3 linked regions of the Oryctolagus cuniculus genome follow. The protein of the gene in region 1 purifies or fractionates together with the protein of each later gene. This does not show direct contact. Links are inferred from orthologs where the notes say so. Each region holds a gene or a part of one and is shown in the gene's direction. Other genes may lie near its edges. The genes, in order: 26S proteasome complex subunit SEM1, RAD23B and UBE3C.

The links.
Region 2: the proteins of 26S proteasome complex subunit SEM1 (region 1) and RAD23B purify together in Homo sapiens (co-immunoprecipitation; 3 studies listed by BioGRID and IntAct, with this or other methods). This does not show direct contact. The link is inferred for Oryctolagus cuniculus from reciprocal best matches to the Homo sapiens genes SEM1 and RAD23B.
Region 3: the proteins of 26S proteasome complex subunit SEM1 (region 1) and UBE3C purify together in Homo sapiens (affinity purification with western blotting; 3 studies listed by BioGRID and IntAct, with this or other methods). This does not show direct contact. The link is inferred for Oryctolagus cuniculus from reciprocal best matches to the Homo sapiens genes SEM1 and UBE3C.

What each region holds. Positions count from the first base shown.
Region 1 is NC_091443.1:63,706,439-63,708,906, forward strand, and holds 26S proteasome complex subunit SEM1, read left to right. Parts: upstream 1-1,423; 5' UTR 1,424-1,481; coding exon 1,482-1,694; 3' UTR 1,695-1,855; downstream 1,856-2,468. UniProt on the Homo sapiens protein: Component of the 26S proteasome, a multiprotein complex involved in the ATP-dependent degradation of ubiquitinated proteins.
Region 2 is NC_091432.1:211,047,103-211,050,758, forward strand, and holds part of RAD23B (UV excision repair protein RAD23 homolog B), read left to right. Parts: intron 1-1,468; coding exon 1,469-1,734; intron 1,735-3,656. UniProt on the Homo sapiens protein: Multiubiquitin chain receptor involved in modulation of proteasomal degradation. Binds to polyubiquitin chains.
Region 3 is NC_091438.1:11,203,835-11,207,490, reverse strand, and holds part of UBE3C (ubiquitin-protein ligase E3C), read left to right. Parts: intron 1-319; coding exon 320-424; intron 425-1,391; coding exon 1,392-1,479; intron 1,480-3,656. UniProt on the Homo sapiens protein: E3 ubiquitin-protein ligase that specifically catalyzes 'Lys-29'- and 'Lys-48'-linked polyubiquitin chains.

The sequences.
Region 1 (2,468 bases):
CAGTGAGCAGCCAGGAGATGGAGGGGAGCTGGCCCAGAGCACGTGTGCAGAGAGGCAGCCGTCGAGTCATGGGCCTGGCAGGAGCACTGCAAGGTGACTCAGATTTCCTGCTCACCCCTCTCGGACGCCGGACACTGGGGCGATGCTTCTGGACTTCGGCAGAACCCCTGGGGAGCTGTCCCAGCTCGAGGTGCTGAGCTAGAGGGAAGGGTGACAGAGATAGGCAGGGCTGCAGGGAGGGGCTTAGGCCGAACAAAAACGAAGGGAATCAGCCCTGGGCCCCAGCGCACTCCTGAGTCCCACCAGGGAGCCGCCTGCAACCAGCAGACACAAATGGTGCAGACTGAGCATCCCGAGGCCCGGGATGGAAGCCGGGACTCGTGCACAAGGCCGCAGAGCTCTGAGAACACCCACCCTCTGCCCACTGCCCAGGCACCTGCAGGTCTCTGGAAGCAGGCAAGAGGCAGCGGTGTCTGGTGATGGTTCTATAGTGGCAGGACTGGGGAGTGACAACGACCAACTCTCAGAGACCCTCCGCTCTCCACCTGTGAGTCACAGAGAGGAAGGTTAGTGTCTCAAAAACGCTGCCTCTTGAGTGACACTCAAATAGATCTCATCAGCGCTCATTCAGATAGCCTCATGACCACGGGGTCTGCTGTCCCCTCTCCTGCCACTATCTCCTTTCCCTATCTGGGGGTGGGGGTGCGGGCATGAAGACAGTTTGCTGAGGGGATTTTGGTTTCCTTATAAAAGAAACCCTGGAGCCAGCGCTGTGGCCTAGTGGGTAAATCTGCTGCCTGCAGTGCCGGCATCCCATGTGGGTGCTGGTTTGTGTCCTGGCTGCTCCTCTTCCGATCCAGCTCTTTGCTATAGCCTGGGAAAGCAGTAGAAGATGGAACAAGTGTTTGGGCCTCTGCACCCACCTGGGAGACCCAGAGGAAGCTCCTGGCTCTGGCTTTGGATCGGCATAGCTCCAGCTGTTGTGGCCATTTGGGGAGTGAACCAGTAAAGGGAAGATCTCGATCTCCTTCCTCCCTCCCTCCCTCCCTCCCTCCCTCCCTCCCTCCCTCCCTCCCTCCTTCTCTCTCTGCCTTTCTAATGAATAAATAAATCTTAACAGAAAAAAAAAAAGCCTACATGGGTGGGCATTTGGCACAGTGGTTAAGATTTGCTTGGGATGCCTGCGTCCCAAATCAAAGTACCTGGGTTCAAGTCCTGGCTCTGCTTCCAATACAGCTTCTTGCTATTGTGCACAATGGGAGGCATCAGGTGATGACTTAAGTAGTTGGCTCCCTGCCACCCACGTGGGAGACCCAGACTGAGTTCGGGGCTTCTGCCTTCTGTCCAGCTCTGCTGTGGGCATTTGGGGACTGAACCAGTAGATGGAAGTGCTCTCTCTCTCTCCCTTTCAAATAAATGAGAGGGAGTGAGGCCTCCATGTTCCGTACTCACCTGCGAGATGTCCTGCGTGGACGGGAGCGATGTCCGAGAAAAAGCAGCCGGTAGACTTGGGTCTCCTCGAGGAGGATGACGAGTTCGAGGAGTTCCCTGCCGAAGACTGGGCTGGTTTAGATGAAGGTGAAGATGCACCTGTCTGGGAGGATAATTGGGATGATGACAATGTCGAGGATGACTTCTCCAATCAGTTGCGAGCTGAACTGGAGAAACATGGTTACAAGATGGAGACTTCATAACTTTCAGAAGAAATTTTGAAGTAACCTAAACTTGAACTGTTGACTAAATTCTAGCATGGAGAACCCAGGATCTGCTTGGATTTATTTTTGTTTTTGTAGCACAAGAAAAATAAATGTTTTGCTCTAAAAAAAAAATAAATAAATAAATAAATAAGGAAAAACTAGTTTTTTTTTTCCTTAAATAAAGAGCCAGAAGAACGCCTGTGATGCCAGTGTGTCAAGTCTCCCGCCTCTTGGCTAGTGAGTCCCTCCCTTCCTGTCTTTCCTGAATGTAGACTTGCAGGAGACAGCACGACCTCCCCTTCCATCCTGAGGCTGTGGGCTTGTTTCCTGCAGCAGTGTGTCCCAGGAAGTGTGAGCTCTTTCATGGCACAGCTTGAAAGTCTGGAAACGAGACCACAGGTAAGCTGGGTTCTCCGCGGAGCTAACGCGAGACTGCCGAGCCCCAAGCCCCTCCGTCAGGGGGTCCCAGGGCACCTGTAGGCACCTCTTCCTGGCACCAGTATGTCTCCTAACAGAGGAAGGAGTGGAGAGAAGTGAGTCTCCTCTGGTGTATAGGGGCTGGGCTGCGAGTCCAAGCCCCCTTCACACTCAGGCAGTGGCCAGTCTGGTTTCCCTCGTGGGCCCTCACCAGAGGAATGGCCCCTGGGACCAGGGCCTGATTCCCTGTGACCTAGCAGGTCTGGGAAGCCCTCGGGGAGGAGACTTCAGAACTGAGCGATATAAAGGGAAGATCAGACCACCTTTTATTTTGAGTGTCTTTCTTTGGACTTT
Region 2 (3,656 bases), on another chromosome or scaffold:
ACATAAGAGAACTGGAAGAAGCTGCTGGCTCCTGGTGGAGGACTGGTCCAACCCTGGCAGTTACGGCCGTTTGGGGAGTGAACCAGTGGATGAAGTTCTTCCCCTTCCCCTCCCCGTAACCCTTGCTTTTCAAATAAATCATTAAATCTTTCTTTGAAAAAAATCCACACCGGGGCCGGCACTGTGGTATAGCAGGTTAACGCCCTGGCCTGAAGCACCGGCATCCCATACGGGTGTGGGTTCTAGTCCCGGCTGCTCTACTTCCGATCCAGCTCTCTGCTATGGCCTGAAAAGCAGTAGAAGATGGCCCAAGTCCTTGGGCCCCTGCACCTGCTTAGGAGACCGGGAAGAAGCACCATTGGATGGAAGACTTTCTCTCTCTCTCTCTCTCTCTTTCTCTCTCTGCCTCTCCTGTGTGTAAATCTGACTTTCAAATAAATAGATCTTAAAAAAAAAATCCACACCATCACCTTTGTAATGCTTTGGTTTATCCAGAATAACTTTACCTGAGGATTTCAGCTCATTGGATTTTTGAATTTTTAGAACATTAATAATTTCCACAGTGTTGTATTGACAGAAAAGAAAGAGACAGAGTTAAATGTAAGGCTATTAGAATAGGAAAAGGAGTAAATGCTAAGGGCATTTTTGAAGCCTCTCCCCCTATAACTTGAACTAACCACTTTTTTTCCAGTGCCCTCTTTACTAGCTGAGATTGAACAAGATACCAGTAGCTTCTTGTTTTTCAGTTTGTTGATTTGTGCTTGTGACAAATTTTATTCAATTTTAATTCCATTTAAACAGTTACCTTTTGTTCTTAGGAAAGTTATGAACTGATTGGGTAGTGAACATTGGAGAAAAACATGTAGAAGAATAAAACTCATTTAGTATGATTTTATACCTAGTTGTTTTTTGCTCTGTGGGAAGCTTTATGACTGTTTCTAGAAAGTGCTCAGCATGTGATCACAACTTTATTTTTCTCTTCAGTTACATACACATCTCAAAATGTTGCTTATCTCTTGTACGTGTTGTCTATTGGGATTTTTTCCTCTCTCTTCTAAAATATAGCAAAATATTTTACATGTTCTTTAGTAATTATTTCTATTTCAAGAAATTACTTTTGATAATTCTACTAAAATTAAAAGTTAAGATACGTAAAGTTTTTGGGGGTAATTATTTGGTTACTTTTTTGGATACATGTTGTGTATATTTAATATTTACTTTTGATTCTTTTTCATATCAACTTGATAGTCTAAAATTGTTGACTAAAGCTAATTGAGATTCATAGTTATGTGTACAGTCGCAGGTTTTCAAAGAGTAACAAAGTGAGTCAGATTGCTAATACTAATCTCATTTTTTTTGAGGTACAAGATTTACTAGTGTTGGATTTCTTGCATTCTGTACAATCAAATAAAGACCAGGTAGTAATACAGTATTTTATCATAATCACTTTGCTTTTTAATATGCTTAGCCCAAAGCAGTGACAACACCAGCACCAGCTACAACTCAGCAATCAAATTCTGCCACCACTACTGCAGTTAGTTCCTCCACAGCAACAGCTGTAACTCAGGCCTCAACACCTGCCCCTGCTTTGGCTCCCACTTCCACACCTGCGTCCATTGCTCCAGCATCAACGACATCTTCTGAACCTGCACCTGCTAGTGCAACTAAGCAAGAGAAACCTGCAGAAAAGCCGGTAGAGACACCAGTGGCTACTAGTCCAACATCAACTGACAGGTAAACACTGAGTTCTAGGAAATTGTATCTCAAAATGTGTAACAATCTCACACATGTATTTATTTTGATGATTATTTCAGTCAAACTGACTATTCTGTTAAGCTTTTTCTAAACTTTGAACCCTGCCTGAAAGATACTAGAGGTCTGTTTGGGTAGTTTACGAAGAAGAATATAGGTAAAAATTTGGGTGATCCAGATCTCTATACTCGTTAAGTTGATTTCCCACCCCTTAGGGGAGAGGGTCAAAATCATTATTCATTTTGAGTAAAAATGTTAGAAAATACAAATGAAAAAAAAAAAAAAAACCCAAGAATTATTAATTAACATGACATTGCCATCCCAGTCATTACTTGTTTTGAGTATGCATAGATTTCACCTATTTTTGGTACATATTTTTTGTATAAAATAAAGGTTTTTTCCAAATTTTTTTAGAGATTTTATTTATTTATTTATTTGAGAGGCACAGTTACAGACAGAGAAAGATCTTCCGTTCACTGGTTCCCTCCCCAAATAGCCACATTGGCCGAAGCTGGGATGGCCCAAAGCCAGGAGTTTCTCTCTGGTCTCCCACATGGATGCAGGGGCTCAGGCACTTGGGTCATCTTCCTTTGCTTTCCCTGGCCATTAGCAGGGAGCTGGATTGGAAGTGGAGCAGATGGGACTCAAACCGGTGCCCATATGGGATGCCAGCGCTACAGGCAAAGACCTAACCCACTGCAGTGGCCAAACTTATTTATGTTCACTTTCCATTAATTTTTTGGAGTACCCATGTATATTTGGTTGATTTTTTTTTATATATTTGTCATATATATTATAAGCATCTTTCCACATCAATTATTTCTAGTTGGATAGTATTCTGTTTGGCTCTGATATTAGCTCTGATAATCTTGGAAAAGTTATTAACATCTTTGCATTTTTCCCCATCTATATAGTATGAATGACAACAAGATCTATTTCATAAAATTATTGTAAGGTTTGATTGAAATAATAGATGTCAAAGATGAAATTGCACATGGTATACAGTAAATGCTGATTAAGAGCTTTTTTTTTTCTTTTTTTTTTAACTTTTATTTAATGAATATAAATTTCCAAAGTACGATTTATGGATTACAATGGCTTCCCCCACATACCGTCCCTCCCACCCACAACCCTCCCCTTTCCCACTCCCTCTCCCCTTCCATTCACATCAAGATTCATTTTCGATTATCTTAATATACAGAAGATCAGCTTAGTATACATTAAGTAAGGATTTCAACAGTTTGCTCTCACACAGAAACATAAAGTGAAAAATAATAGATGATTTTTTTTAAATGATGATGAAATCAGATCAGACCTATTGTCATGTTTAATCCCAGTGAGAGTCAAGTTGGGAGTTGATAATTTCTTTTTTTTTTTTTTTTTTTTTTTTTTTTTTTTTTTACAGAGGATCAGTTTAGTATACATTAAGTAAAGATTTCAACAGTTGCACCCCCATAAAAACACAAAGTGAAATATATTGTTTGAGTACTCGTTATAGCATTAAATCTCAATACACAGCACATTAAGGACAGAGATCCTACATGAGGAGTAAGTGCACAGTGACTCCTGTTGTTGACTTTACCAATTGACACTCCTGTCTATGGCATCAGTAGTCTCCCTATGCTCCAGTCATGAGTTTCCAAGGCTATGGAAGCCCTCTGAGTTCTCCGATTCTTATCTTGTTTAGACAAGGTCATAGTCAAAGTGGAGGTTCTCTCCTCCCTTCAGAGAAAGGTACCTCCTTCTTTGAAGACCTGTTCTTTCCACTGGGATCTCACTCACAGAGATCTTTTACCAGAGTGTCTTGGCTTTCCATGCCTGAAATACTCTCATGGGCTTTTCAGCCAGATCCGAATGCCTTTAGGGCTGATTCTGAGGCCAGAGTGCTATTTAGGACATCTGCC
Region 3 (3,656 bases), on another chromosome or scaffold:
CCGCCCCCCCTTGTAATTGAAGAATCATCACGTGCACATATTTGCATTGGTTTTTCTCTGTTTGCTGATGGATAACTGCTTTGTACTTCCAGCACTTTCTTGTGATGGCAGAAGGAAACACTTTTCTGTGAAGTATTTGGTGGTCTAAGGCCAGGTCTCACTTCCTGAGTCCTGTTTTCTTTGAAACATTTAGATAACAGGAGCATCCCCTGTCCCACCGGCATGTGCTCCTCTAACATCTGGTCAGCGGTGGTGCTTGCTTTGTGCCCTTGTAGCATCTGAACTCCTTTGTATGACACAGACTTGTTCATTTCTTCAGGTGATCACCAATCTAGTGAAAATGTTGAAGTCCAGAGACACAAGAAGAAATTTCTGTCCTCCGAACCACTGGCTGTCAGAGCAAGAAGATATTAAAGCAGATAAGGTATTACTGAAATAATCACTTTAATGTTTTTCATTAAAAATTATTTTTCATCTTTTAACTTTCTAGGGGGGGTTCTCATGAGGTAGTTCATCCTTGAATTAAACTGTAGCTTCTGGTCCTGCCCACTGACGAGGTCTTGAAACAGTGATAGGTCCTGTGCGTGAACAGCTCCAATACTCAGAAAAGAAACAGTTCTGGCCCAGTGCTTGGTGCCGAGTCTGGGAAAGACCTTACAAGTTGGGTCTGAAGCCCTGTTGTCACACTGGAGAGTGAGGCCATAGCAGGACGCTGGCCGTTGTGAAGGGCTCACGGGCATTTGACTGGCTTCTGCTGCTCCCAGGTAGAAGATCTGAACTTCAGCAAAGATAGATTTCAGTGAACTCAAGCTTCAGGTACATTTACTCAGTGAGTTCATAATGATACCAAGAAGAACAAGAACTGTGTCTGCTGTTTTTGTAGCAAGCAAAGGAACCAGCACATTATTTGGGTAACTGTGGTGCGTGGAAGAGTGAGATTCAGACTGCCTTTGCTTTGTGAACGGGACCTCATGTTAGCCGGGCAGTTTGCAAGTGGGAGAAGAGTCCTGGCAGGACTACATACAGAGGCGTTTGTGAACTAGGATGCCTGATCACATTGTGCAGGTGCTAAAGGATTATCTGGTCTCAGTGGTACTGCTCCAGATACTGTCCTGGCACTGGGCCTTGGGTTTTTAAAGTGTGATAATGTTTCACTTCACAAAGGAATTATAGTATTATGATTTACTATGTCAATTGCGATGGGGTATCTTAGGAAAAGTAATTAAGCTATAAAAGTATGAAAGGGCAGCTAGTGTAAGAGAGAAGTCCTGGAAAGCGCGTGCCGAGATGACCTGTTTGTCATTCGTAAATATCAGACACTGGCTCTAGGGAAAAACTGTTTGTGCTGGCAAAAAAAAGAAAGCAATGAACGTTGGTTGCTCTCCCCGCAGGTCACCCAGCTCTATGTGCCAGCATCCAGGCACGTGTGGAGGTTCCGGCGAATGGGGAGGATTGGCCCGCTGCAGTCCACCCTAGAGGGTGAGTCCTCGACAGCTGGCACTGCTTTTTCAAAACAGGTTGCTATTTGGTTATTGGTTTTTAACACATTTACTTACTTATTTGAAAGAGTTACAGAGAGGGAGAGCCACAGAGAAGAGAGAGATCTTCCTTCTGCTGGTTCACTCTCCGGATGGCTGTAACAGCCAGGGCTGTGTCAGGCCAACGACAGGAGCCAGGAGCCTCATCTGGGTCTCCCACATGGGTGGCAGGAGCCCAAACACTCGTCAACTCTGCTACTCATCCCAGCCCATTAGCAAGGAGTCGGATCAAAAGTGCAGCAGTTGGGACTTGAACAGCACCCATATGAGATGCCAGTGTCGTGAGCAGCAGCTCTACCCACCACACCACAATATGAGCCCAGTACGGGTTTATTGAAGTATATGTGTATATTGGTTGCACACTGTAAAATTCACTCCTTTTAGTGTATGGTTCTGTGATGTTTGATAAACGTGATTATGTGACCACCACCAGAATCAATCATACAAACTAGTTTTATCACTGCACAAGATTACATTATGTTCCTTGATGGCCAGCTCCTTCCCCCAGCCCTAGCTCCTGATTTATCTTTTGTCCCTATCATTTTGTCTTTTCCCAGGTGTTTCTAAATGGAATCATAAGGTATAACATTCCTTTAAAAAAAAAAAAAAGATTTATTTATTTGTTTAAATAAACTTTATTTACTGTCCCATGATTATATAATTCAAAAAGTAGAAAACTTGTAGAATGATATGTTTTAGACAAACATTCTGTGCCCCAAAATCTACTTTTGAATGTCCGAAATCTTTTGTCTTTCTTTTTATAGGTTTTTCTTCTTGACCAGAGTTTGTCCTTTGAATTCTTTCTGTAATACTACTTTGTTGTTGTTGTTGTTGTTTTTAGATTTATTTATTTGAAAGACAAGAGTGAAAAAGGTAGAGACAGAGAGAAAGAGCATGGTCTTCTATCCGTGTTTCGCTCCCCGAATGCTGCAACAACAGGAACTCAGGCCAAACCCGGGAGCCAGGAGATTGTTCTGGGTCTCCCACATGGGTGCAGGGGCCCAAGCATTTGGACCCTCCTCTGCTGCTTTTCCAGGTGCCTTAACAGGGAGCTGGATCAGAAGTGGAGCAGCCAGGACTTGACTCTGCAGGCCAGGGCTTTAACCTGCTGCACAATAGCACCGATCCCATAACTACTTTGTTTTTACAAATATCATCAACATGTTCATGTGAAAACCACAGTAGACAGTGTGTGATTTGCTTAATTTGCCCAGTATAAGATTAATTACTGGGCTGTTGTCACACTAAGTACAGGCAGGTGAATTTAGTTGTACTTTTTTTTTCCAAGGAGGAGAACCTGAATTTTTGAGTACCTGGGGATTAATGGTTATTTCATATTCCTTTTAAAGACCCTTGTTGTGGAATTCATTTAAAAGGTGTTGGACCAAATTAAATGTACTTGGCATAATCTTATTTTTAATAATGTATAATTAAAGATTTTAGGTATCCAAGATGTTAAAATTGTTCCATTTTAAGACTTGGATTACGGGACTGGTGCTGTAGCATAATGGATAAAGCCACTACCTGCCATGTCAGCATCCCATATGGCTACCAGTTTGAGTCCCAGCTGCTCCACTTCCAATCCAGCTCTCTGCTATGGCCTGGGAAAGCAGTGGAGGATGGCCCAAGTCCTTGGGCCCCTACGCCCACATGGGAGACCCGGAAGAAGCTCCTGGCTCCTGGCTTCGGATTGGTGCAGCTCGGGCTGTTGTGGCCAATTGGAGAGTGAACTAGTGGATGGAAAACCTCTCTCAAGCCGGCGCCGTGGCTCAGTAGGCTAATCCTCCCCCTTGCGGCGCCGGCGCACCGGGTTCTAGTCCCGGTTGGGGCGCCAGATTCTGTCCCACTTGCCCCTCTTCCAGGCCAGCTCTCTGCTATGGCCCGGGAGTGCAGTGGAGGATGGCCCAAGTGCTTGGGCCCTGCACCCTATGGGAGACCAGGAGGGGCCCCTGGCTCCTGCCTTCGGATCAGTGCAGCGCAGCGGCTATTGGAGGGTGAACCAACGGCAAAGGAAGACCTTTCTCTCTGTCTCTCTCTCTCTCACTGTCCACTCTGCCTGTCAAAAAACAAAAACAAAACAAAAAAAAAAACCTCTCTCTTTCTGCCTCTTCCTCTCTC